3 linked regions of the Bombyx mori genome follow. The main gene of each other region encodes a partner of the protein of the gene in region 3 in a complex. Links are inferred from orthologs where the notes say so. Each region holds a gene or a part of one and is shown on either strand. Other genes may lie near its edges. The genes, in order: transmembrane protein 231, transmembrane protein 216 and transmembrane protein 17.

Evidence for each region.
Region 1: transmembrane protein 17 (region 3) and transmembrane protein 231 share a complex: the UniProt entries of both Homo sapiens proteins name them as parts of the tectonic-like complex. The link is inferred for Bombyx mori from reciprocal best matches to the Homo sapiens genes TMEM17 and TMEM231.
Region 2: transmembrane protein 17 (region 3) and transmembrane protein 216 share a complex: the UniProt entries of both Homo sapiens proteins name them as parts of the tectonic-like complex. The link is inferred for Bombyx mori from reciprocal best matches to the Homo sapiens genes TMEM17 and TMEM216.

The regions. Positions count from the first base shown.
Region 1 is NC_085110.1:12,598,626-12,602,695, forward strand, and holds transmembrane protein 231, read left to right. Parts: upstream 1-1,253; 5' UTR 1,254-1,272; coding exon 1,273-1,411; exon of another isoform or gene 1,412-1,455; coding exon of another isoform or gene 1,456-1,489; intron 1,490-1,586; coding exon 1,587-1,756; intron 1,757-1,929; coding exon 1,930-2,058; exon of another isoform or gene 2,059-2,103; intron 2,104-2,198; coding exon 2,199-2,427; intron 2,428-3,077; coding exon 3,078-3,337; 3' UTR 3,338-3,474; downstream 3,475-4,070. Other genes in the region: mitochondrial import inner membrane translocase subunit Tim21, read right to left, coding at 3,721-3,867, 4,041-4,070. UniProt on the Homo sapiens protein: Transmembrane component of the tectonic-like complex, a complex localized at the transition zone of primary cilia and acting as a barrier that prevents diffusion of transmembrane proteins between the cilia and plasma membranes.
Region 2 is NC_085132.1:4,411,439-4,414,747, forward strand, and holds transmembrane protein 216, read right to left. Parts: upstream 1,739-3,309; 5' UTR 1,607-1,738; coding exon 1,363-1,606; intron 1,184-1,362; coding exon 990-1,183; 3' UTR 584-989; downstream 1-583. Other genes in the region: mRpS10 (mitochondrial ribosomal protein S10), read left to right, coding at 215-476. UniProt on the Homo sapiens protein: Part of the tectonic-like complex which is required for tissue-specific ciliogenesis and may regulate ciliary membrane composition.
Region 3 is NC_085116.1:10,340,971-10,345,338, forward strand, and holds the start of transmembrane protein 17, read left to right. Parts: upstream 1-1,419; 5' UTR 1,420-1,647; coding exon 1,648-1,782; exon of another isoform or gene 1,783-1,997; intron 1,998-2,096; coding exon 2,097-2,210; intron 2,211-2,555; coding exon 2,556-2,776; exon of another isoform or gene 2,777-3,970; coding exon 3,971-4,001; 3' UTR 4,002-4,055; exon of another isoform or gene 4,056-4,368. UniProt on the Homo sapiens protein: Transmembrane component of the tectonic-like complex, a complex localized at the transition zone of primary cilia and acting as a barrier that prevents diffusion of transmembrane proteins between the cilia and plasma membranes.

The sequences.
Region 1 (4,070 bases), on a different chromosome or scaffold from region 3:
CCATAGATGGTGAATTTAGAATTGTTCAAGACTCGTAATTTTTGTCTTGTTACTTATTATTAAGTATTTTCCATATTAAATTGACCATCTTATTACCCGTCATTGAGAGTTAATATTAGAATATAATACCAATATAAGTTACAGTGAGTAGATGTCAGTGAATTCAAAACATCAAAACGCGGGACTTTCATAGTGCACTTAAATATTAAAAGTACATAAAAGTTCACTAGGGTACCGGAACATTTAGAAAGCTAATAGGTATATATTTAATAGTATATTAAATACTGTATTGGCGGAAAAGCTTAATTCATATGCACCTTGAAACGAAGTGTCCGTTTGAATGGCCGGCATTATGAACCAAACCCGCCTCCCTCCCTTTGTCTACGCCAGGATCCTTGCTGAAAAAGATAGTTCACTTTCGTAGATGAATGAATGAGTTCACGTAAGATTAAATGGTCGTTTAGGCCAATAGACAACACAAATGCCTTCAACCACAACCCTGGGCGTCTTAACATTAAGCTATGGTGCATGTAGAAAATTTTACAATAATAAAATATATATTTTATTCTTTAAAAATAAACGATAAACACCTATTTATTCTGACTCTAGAAGCGTAAGGTCGGATCTACTTCTTACTGAGTGTCTCTGAAGAGAACTCGTATCAATATTGAAGAATTTTGGACTCCGTTCTCAGAAAAAATCTAATCTTTCATAATTTGGTGAACGTGCTTACTGTTTAGCTGGAGTTGAGTGGTTACGGGAGCCCATAGACATCACGACATTAATAGCGTCCCACCCTCCTTGAGATATGAGGTTGATGTCTCAATGTTATAGTATAACGGCTGCCCCACTCTTCAAACTGGAATGCATTACTTTTTCGCGGTAGAAATAGGCAGGGTGATGTAAGTATGGACTCACACGAAGCTCCACGACCAGTAAAGATTTATGATTGCTAAAATGATCATAAACCATCCTAGAATCAAAGAGTAGAAAAATTCTATATATGTAAACGAGAGCTATAGCTCGCCCTTTGACCAGTTGATGTTGAATCATTATTTCTTTATATTCCTTAATTTAACGCTTCTAGAGTACATATATATTTTTGATTCAGGAATTTAAAGTTTGCATTTAATTGTAAAATAATTCAGAAAAACCCTCTGCCCTAAAAAAGTCGTTGCTTAGCAACGGTTTGTTTTGCAGGTCAATGCTATTGATATTTAACATTTTACGCATATTAGTACACCGAAAACACTGTAAATTTTATATTTTAAAATGAGCTTGTACAAATTGTTTAGTTCAAATGTCGAAATACAGTATAAAAGTACCTTCCTTTCCAAAGCCATGTTCTTTACTCTTTTTACGTCTATCTTAAATATTATACTGCCTTTTATTATAGCTCAGAAAAGTAGAGGTTAGAACTCCAATTTAGCCTTGCTAAAATCAGCTGAGTGAACCATGTCCAGAAAATACTTAACAGTATACAGAAACGGTCCTATTATCGTTAAAATTAAATTATTTGAAATAGCCAGTAATTACCGAATAGATATCGAAATATAAGATCGTAATACAAATATGTATTTTTACAGGGCTCTGGGTGAAATATCACAGTTTTTATGAACAGCCAACTGTTCATTTTACGTATGAGTATGTACTAATAGCCGAAACTGAGGATCCCAGTAAACCCATACTTTGTACAGAAATTGGATTGTTTGGTAATGATAATGAAGAAAGCTCTGAATCATGTGCAGAAATGCAGGTAATGAATTTTTATCGAAAGAATTGTACTGTGTAAATACAAATTACATAACTATATAGACAATGAGTTTGTTATGAAATAAGACTAAATACACTGTGTAGTACATTTTATACTGATAACATGACCAACTACAGTTTTTGATGAATAAAATTATTAAAAACATGTATTTCCAGGTTCAAGAAAATGATTTCACTGGAGATGGCAAAAAGGATGAGCTGTATATTAAATTTCACCTAAATATACCACCAGACAGAACTGTGTCTTCTATTTTATTAATTTTATCTCTTGATTTTCAGCTGAAGGTATTTTTAACTATTTTTGACATTTTAGATATTTAATAAAAAAAGGTACTAAATCTTTTCTGTTTATTTATATTTTATAAATAGGTGCTTTAAATATGGAACAAATACTTTAATAGAATCCTTTTGTTTTCTTCTTGCAGACAATATGCCCTTTACAAATGCAGAGCTTGGCATTGATTACCAAAGAGTTTGTAATACCACCATCAGAATTAATTTTTCATGGAGATCTAAATTTTTATCAAACCACCCACTTACCTTGTGAATGGTTTAATCAAGATACGAAATATAACAGATCTTTATTTGAAATTGAAAAATGGGAAAGTTACATGTCTATTGATCATTATCTGTCTGATTATTTTCATAGAGAAGGTAAGATTATTTATTTTTACAAATATACATTTTGTGCTTATTCATATTTTAATATTGGTAACAGCATTGAAGACAAAAATAATGGCTATTGTTGTGCAGCCACAGACAGAAGGCCATAAACCTACAGTAATTTTAACACAAAATTGTAACATTTATCCTGAGTTAATAAAGATTTGATTATCAATGATAATCCTTCTTTAGTAAGGCAAATAAACTCAAGTTACTTAATAAAAAACATAATGCTCCACTGTCCATTGGATCAAAACTAATCAGGTATTCATTCTTTCAACAGCTAGATAATAGGCCAAAGAAAGTTACTTGATAATAGTTTGTCTATTATTTTTCATAATCTATCCACAGTAGATCTAAACTTCCTGGTTATCCCAAATTACTATACCATTCGGGCGCATTGAAAGTCCATACCAGTTACAAATCAGTTATACAGTTCTGCTATTATTTCTGTGGTTCTGCTGCTGCCATTAATTTCAGTTTGAAGTGTGGGTTTGCCTTTATTGATACGTCAGCCTAATGTGATCTGCAGAGTAGCATTCAAGTTCTAATGTTACCAGAGTCCAGTAACCACTGATATAAGTAAACCTACAGCATATTTATTCAACTACATTCATAACCAAAAAATAAACTATTTTCAGTTACCACAGAAGTCAGAACGATAAATTCTAGAACCTACAATGGCCAGACAGATTCTATGACTGTTCAAGTTCATCTAAGAATTCCAGAGATGCAAATAAGATACACTCCTAGTATACTAGAAGAGTTTAAGTGGGCTTGGCCTCAATATCTCTCTTTTGTAGTGATATTCCATTGGTTCTTCAATAAAGTTAAGGAATTTATATTTACCAATCGACTTCTCATGTCATGGAAAGTACAATCTTGGAAAACATTTGAATGACGAACTTATGTAAGATCTATAAAATTGTACTGCGAAATAATTGATTTGTGCCAATTTCTAGTCTTCACTGTAAAATTCACTTTAATTATTAATAAGGATAAACATGTTTTAATGTTTGCAATAAAATGATATTATAAGCATTAAGTTTCATTGGCTCAAAGAATTTAATTAATAAGATTCATATTCCAAAACTATTCTTATGGTGTCAGAAGAAGGTATAGTATTCTATATATTTAAAAGATTTCAATATGAAAGTGCTCACTATATTTATTATTTTTTAAACTAAAACTTTACATAATAATATGAAACGAAACAATTTTATTTTGCTAATCATTTATTCGATATCTACTTTACTATTTACATGTTACATAGTTAATTTTATATCACTGAGTGAGAGTTAAGGTTGGAAATGCGATATCAGGTTTGGTATTATCTAATTCAGCTCGGTTGTCCTCAATTATAAATGTTTTTCCACTGTAGTCATCAAGTTGTACCAGCAAATATCTGCACATATAGTTTCCATAATCATTCTGAAAAAACAAGTGTACTGGTGAATTGGAAAGATTTTAAATGAATTTATTAAAATAGAAAATTTTAAACAGAGATTATAAGAAATTGATGAGGTGTATACAAATTATTCAGATGTATGGTGTTATTTGAACTTTTAAGTTGTTAAACACATTTCTATTTAAACAGAACTTACTTGTTTCATATCAAGTTCAACAACACCTTT
Region 2 (3,309 bases), on a different chromosome or scaffold from region 3:
ATCGAAATTTATTGAGATTTCTATGGGCTCTGGTTATCACTTAAAACTACATGTACCTTATACCTGTACTAGTAATGAAATAATGAAATATAGGGAGATAGAGGCATTTGAAGATGATTTATTACAATTTAAAATTTTACCCTTCATATTAAAGATTTAAATTTAAGTTATTAGTGCTAAAAGAGATACTACTAGTTAGTTTTATTTTTTTCAGTTGGGCACTAAGGAAAGCAGAGAAAGAAAGGCACACACTTTTAAAATGTGTACACATTTACAAGAAACACAAAGTGCAGTATGAAATTCGTACATACTTCAGGTTTATACATATGCAGAGGCTCACTGGATCTACGTGCGACACATATTTGGAATATATCGAACGGAATCTGCCAGAAGGTTGTGCGTTGAAAGTTACAAAAATTGAATGTCAAAAGTTACCTGAACATTTAGTACCGCCTAAGAAAGAAAGCGAAGAGTGAATTGCCATTGTAATAATTTAGAATAAAAATAAATTAGTTAAATGTTATTTAGTTTAATACTTTATTTTTCACCAACTCTAATTTATAAATATTAAAAATCAATAAAATTAAATTAAATATATTTAATTAACAGACACATAAAGATCAAAAGCCAACTTTGAACATTAAAGTTAAAAAAACAGTCTTAATTTACATGTTGCTCTTGATTTTATTCAAAGCGGTATAATATAATAAGATGATCACAGTAATTCTAATGCAGTTTTCACAAAGGGGATTACTAATGTTACAAATGGCTAGAAACATAAAAATGCAGACTAGTAAATATAATGTTACCAGATTAACAACAAAGTAAGGAGAATCATAAGGCATGAGATTATATTTTTTCACATGTTTCTAACTTTTAGTAATCCTAGTTTACTACACAAGAGTAATTACAATGATCAAATTGAATTAATGCTATATTTAATAAAAATATGGAATGTTTGCAATATTTGAGGTTCAGGTTTTCATTATTTAATCAAATTGTTGATTTTTACATACAGTAAAAATAAATAAGATTGCAAAAGCAAACTCGAGAGCATGGAACATTAACATGACGGCACACCAGATGTATTCCAACCGAAGTATGTAAGTTTGATAAATTAGAAAATAACATACTCCTACAGCAGAGGGAATCGTCAATAGCACTGACAGAAAGACCGGTATTTCTGTAACAAAAACATTGTTAACATATTATGGTGAAAAGTAACATTGAACGAAACGAAAATAGTTTCTATTTTAATTTACTTAAGACACAAAATATTTTTTTGCGATTTAGTACATATTCCGTACAACAACGAATCTTGAAATATATTTTTGCAGAATATTGAATATATACGATACTTACTTTTGCTTGCTAAGTTTCCTCTACGCCCCAAAAAGATCCTAATCATCTCTACAAAGCATAGGGCGCTAAATATTCCGGCTTCTGTTAATAGAGCGTTTTCTGGATACGAAACATTTATAGCCTTCAATATCCCCATTGCGACTTCACAAACGATAAACATTCCTAAATAAAAACTGTTCAAATACAGTAATATCTCATAAGCCAAACTCGAATTAACGTTTGTTACTTTCGACATTTTTTCCATATTTTATAAAATTGTACGAATGTATTGAAAAGTTTCTAAATTGAGAGGAGGCTGTTTCGAGGTTTCGTATGTAATAAAAATCAATGTTTTTGTTTACACTTTTTGAAATTTGTAGTAGTAGTAGTTTTATTTTTTCAATTGGAAGGGCACAGGTATCATACCATACAGCCAAATCTTTTATATATTAAAAAAATTAAAAAATATATTATTAATATGAAATGAAAAGAAACGAAGTTGATTGATTTGGAACATTAATCAATTGGCAATTGGCAAATTAAATGAAATGATATGAGATAATATAGAATGAAATATATTGTCAGTAAAATGGTGGTTAATTACTGAGACTTTCTCAATGGAATTTTCGGAGAATCCTGAAAAGTAACGTCCAGCGACTTTTTTTCATTTTCCCACATTTGTGCACTTCCACAGATACTAAACAGTTAATAAATCACCGCTGTTACATATTTAAACCTAAAGAAACATTAGATATATAGACAATACTGAGATAATACATGAGATTGACAATACAACTACATGAGAAATACATGAGACTGACAATATAACTATATTGAGACCTTAGAACTTATATCTCAAGGTGGGTGGCGCATTTACGTTGTAGATGTGGATAGTCGTAGATAGATTATGGGCTCCAGTAACCACTTAACTCCAGGTGGGCTGTGAACTCGTTCACCCATCTAAGCTATAAATAAAAAAAAGCTCTTTGCTATATTATAGCGCCCAGTAAATATTTGACTACTACAAGGCTTTTTTCTGTGTTATTTACACTAAAACTGTGTTTTTATTTAGAGAAGTCTAAAAGCTCACGGTTCGTCTGGTGTAAAGTGGATACCAAACACCAAACATCATAAGAATAATGGCGAACCCACCTTTAGACATGATGTCAGAGTTTCAATTTTATTATATAACAGCTGATCCATCCTTCAAATGCATAACTGCTTTGCGGTAGAAATGGGCAGGATCATTATTATATCTACTCATACGGGCTTCCAATACGTCCTACTACCTGTAACCTACCAGTAAATTATCAATATTTTTATTGCTTCGAGATGGACAGACTAACTTCAACCCGACTCTTCATACTGGAACACCTTACTGGCTTGCGACAGATATAGCTATACAATACGCTTTGAGAACAATAAATGCGGTTTGATGAATACAGTATGCTGGTTAAGAAATCGCATCTCGGCCTCAAATAGTGCTTTAAGACAAAAAAAGAAATGGTCATTTATAGTTTATTATTTAATTTAATTTTATAAATACCTAACACTTTTTCACTTTTTTTTTAATTAACAAATTTAATCAGTATTTTATACGGGTCACTCACATTCACTCGAATACCCAAACCCGCAAGTGTAGGACGACATTTGCAAATGAATAAGCAAAGTTTTCGCTGCATTTGTGGTTTTCCAAGCTGTGTCGGTTTTTTAACAGACATCAAAGCGCGCGAACCGCGATCCTTCGCGAAGCCTCCCACACATTCGTGTGACCAGTTGCGCCCAGGATTGCGAAGGTAGCGGACGTTTCGCTATTTTCATAGATCGTGACGTCTACTGTGTAGCGTATCTTCATCAAAAGAAATTCCATAAAAACAGCATGGCTGTTAATGATGTCTGGGAAAGAATTCAAAACTCTTTTTCTCTTCAATGTTCTATTGACGAATTAAAAAGGAGGAGAAATTCGTG
Region 3 (4,368 bases):
GACCATATATGGGCCAGGATCCTGTTCAGTGTATTTTTTTCTGTAAACAGAGTCGGCCATTGGGGTCTCAGATGGTGTCATAGAAGGACTCGCTGAAGTAGGCTCTGGTGAGGTCTGTACAATTTGGCGAGGAGGCACTATAAGCTTATTTACGTTATTTGCAAGATTTCCCGCCAAAGCCTGCTGCAGCGGGCGCAACGAAAGTTGTTTGTCCGAGATCTTTGGTTTAAAAGAATTAACAAGTTGTTTCTTTTTTTGGGATTTCTTCGATTTAACGTTGACAAATTCAGATACATTGGAAAGGTCGAACTCATCACAGAAAAATATTGGTTGGCTAAACCTTGAGTTAGTCGTATCAGTTGTCTCCTCAGTAATATTCGGATCCGGGGGATCCGTTCCCGCCTCCAACTCCATACTATCTACGCTAAAGTACTAAAATATACAATTATAAACTAAACATATATACAGTTATAAACTAAAATATGCTACAATATCTACAGAATATCAAATTAAATTAATTAAAAAGGATATGAATTTTTTTATTGGCCCTCTTCTCAAGTTCCGTCCCAAATTTTTTGAAGGTTCCCGCCTCTCTCCTTATCGTCAGGTAGTATTAATAATAGTTCCATTTAACCAACTGGAAAGGCGAAGGTGTCACGCCATACATCCTTACAACTTTCGTATATTCCCTGAGTATCCCTGCCTGCAGCTTTCTGCGAGTATATTCTTAGGTTCGATATTTCGAGCGGTGTACGATATTGGAGTCATTTGGAAGATAAAGCCAAATTAGCCTCTAAAATGTTCGAAGTCCTCAATTTCACGCCTGGACTTGCGCTTTACAAAGCACAAGTCCAGCTTCACGTGGAGTACGTGAGGCCCATCACTGGGCCAAGGCTACCAGGTAGTAGGTACCATTTGACCCCATACAAAGACAGACCACTCAGATTGTCGATAATCTCATTCTCACGGATCGCTTGAAACCTCTTAACAACAGGTGGGCCATGAGCTTGGCCCCCCATCTAAGCAATAAAAAAAAACTTCCCGCCACCGGAGCAGATTTCATCCATACAATCTGGAACCGCTGTGTTCATCGATAGTGCGTTTCCAGAGATCATTCAGCTGTGTACCACCTGGCTCTAGAATGAACTCTCCTCCACGGTGTTTCTCGAGCGCTACGATATGTCCTTCATCAAACGCGGCCTGGAGGACCTACACCTACCTATTCAATGATTGATAGCGACTTGGCTATGCCCCTGGCATTGCTGACGTTCATGAGCGACGGTAACCACTTATCATCAGGTGAGCTATATGCTCGTTGGCCTACTAAGGCAATAAAAGAATAAAAACATGTAAAGTAATGACGTATTTTATTTTATTTCGTTTCATTTTACATTTTAAATACTTATCAGCCTTTATTTCAATTTTTGTTTAATGGGCTATACATTTGCGTATCCAGTGAACGAATTAAAAAAACGCAAACAAACTGTAAAATGTGCAAAACAAAACAATAACAAAGAGTAAAGCAAATATATTAAGTGTATAATCTATGAGTAAAGCTGATAAAGTATTAAATGAATAAACGGCATTTTGTTAAAGTTCAATAAATCCTATGTGGATAACTAATAAATAAACTTTGACTAAAAATTTATGATTTGTACTTTTGTACATTTAAACATTTCAATGGAGTATAAAACTATGCTACGTTTGCAGAAATGTCTGTACTTTAAAATAAATCTATTTGTTCTCTGGTGTTTTGTGACAGGGTTTTTCTTGTTTATGAAGGTATACTTTAAAATCTAAGCTGTGTTCACTGTACTTAGAAATTATCCTATTTATTATGAATAGGAAACGTAATACGAGATCTCAGTTAAAAGATTTGGGGCTCCCTGATCTCATAGGACTTAAATTAATTTGCTGACAGTGATGTATCAGCAATACAATGGCATTCCTTTAATTCAGATCTGGTGATAAAATAAAACACTACTATTTTTCAAAAAGTGAGGAACAAAGTAACTAAATTGAAGTAACTTTCCAAACAGAAATATGCATTGTGTAAAAAATTAAACAATTAAGCGTTTTAAAAATTATTTTTGCAGTTTGATCAACTTAGCCACCTGACAAAATACTTATCAGCTACAGTTTTTTTGCTACTATCTGGAATAGAAATTGTACGATTGTACCTTGGTAGATATGGAAATTTGTCTTGCAGAGTAAGTAATTAGCCATAGTTATTACTACTAATTATGTGACAAAATAAAAACATTTGCCAGTCCTTAACATTAAGTCATTGAATATTAATTAATACCTTAGTGGCAGAGATTTACAAAAACAATAGTATAAATAACAGAATGTAATAGGAAGAAAATTGTTTAAAAATACTAATATTTATGGGAACTTTAAAAAATTATATCTCGTAAACCGTGAGTCTTGCAATTTTGTAAAAAGCTTTTTATTTATGAGTACTAGCTACAAAGATATTGTGAACTTCCAAATCGACGGACCCAAAAGGAAAATTTAGTCAAAATAATAATTTGTAATATACTATTTTTTTTTAGGTTCCAGAATTAGCTGTATTCCTCATGTTGACAATTTTAATGCAAATGCCACTAGTTAGCTTCTTCCTTTTTCATCCATATTTGCTGAGTACACCAACAGAAATAACGCTGCATGCTATGTTTTGGATGACTACTATTATTGAGATTGTGTACGGGTTTAGAGCATTAAAACAAGCTTCTTCTCTAGCTAAAAGCATTTACCTGTCCACAACTCAGAATCAGTGAGTTAGTAGAGTAGTAAAAATATAAGGTAATATTGTAGTAATATTATGGTAGAATGCAGCATAATTTATATAGTATCAGACTGTAATTAGTATGAGCACTAATCATGGTATGATAAATACAAAACATTAAATAATAGCATTGTCAATGTGAAAAAGCATTTTTTGTTATGTCCTTTTTTTTATCGAAAATCAAATTTCTTTTGCAAAGAGACTTAGGATATCTATATATTTCATAACTTTAGATTTCTTAATTTGAAACAAAGGTAAACGCAGTATACATTTTTCATTTATTAAAATTAGAAAATAAACCTTAATGGGTTGAGTTTTTAAAACAAACAAAACATAGGCAGCAACTTTGTTTTCCCTGTCATTGCTGATATCCATGAGTGATAGAGGCTACTTATGCCCATCAGGTGGGTCATGCCATATGCTTAATAAAAAAAAAAAAAAATTTTTTTTCCCTAATAGCCTAATTCATGCTTTAGGGCACTGATGGGTATGATAACTACTCTTGCATGTACTCTTTTGAACAGATAGAACAGCTGTTGTATCAATGCAATGAAAATTCAATCTTCAAAGCACTCTCATTTAATATGTGGTTGATATACTTACAATAACCACTTAAAACCAGGATGAATGTGCGTTCATGCTAATTTTAACCATGACAAAACAGATCAGTCATTATGGCATAATGACCAAAGTTTTTTAAATGAAACATACTTTAAATGAAAAGACTTTATTGTCATAATACATTTGATGCTGGAACCATATCTTAAGATATTTAATAAAAATTGCTTTATTTAGCAAAGCTTTGGCATAATAAACATAAATATAATTATTTAACATAGCTTGTTATATAATAGTTAATTACAAAAGTAAATTAAGTTTTTTTTAAACAATACTGTCATAAATTACATTCAACTTTAAAAAATAGCGTCAAGCACACAAAAAATATTAGTCATAACTTTAAAATAATGATTGCACTTTTTCTTAAGTAACTACTTCAAACAAAATGGAATACAGAAAACTTCTCCGTTCATATAAAAGTAAATCAATACTCTGACTCATATTTATTAAATTTATTATTGGTATCAAAATATATAAGATTTCATTAAAATGGTTTTCAACATTCATATTTAAATATTTGTATTTGCCATTAAACTCTTCAAGGCACTGGTTTTTTATTTGTAGAAACACTGGGAAAACTTCAAGGGAAAAATGATATAATTTTGACACAGTTGAATGGATCTACAAAGTACAGTGTTTAAATGTAAAGGTTCGACATTTTCAAATTCATTTTGGAACAATCTGACTAGTGATGTTAACTTTCCACGAACAAAATTTTTAACGGAAATTATGTTCTATAACTCAGTATTTGTGATGAAGACTGCATTTAACTCCTCCTTTGAAATGTTGCCATAGTAAACCGTAAGACATCGTTTTAATCTTTCAGTGCCAAAGTACTTACTTTTAAGGCAGCTTGAATTGCAGGAGTTTTATTTGTCCACATTAAGATTTTTTTCTCCGATTCCGATTAACATTTACCTAAATCCCCTTTCCAACTATGAATGATCAGCTCACTCAGGTCT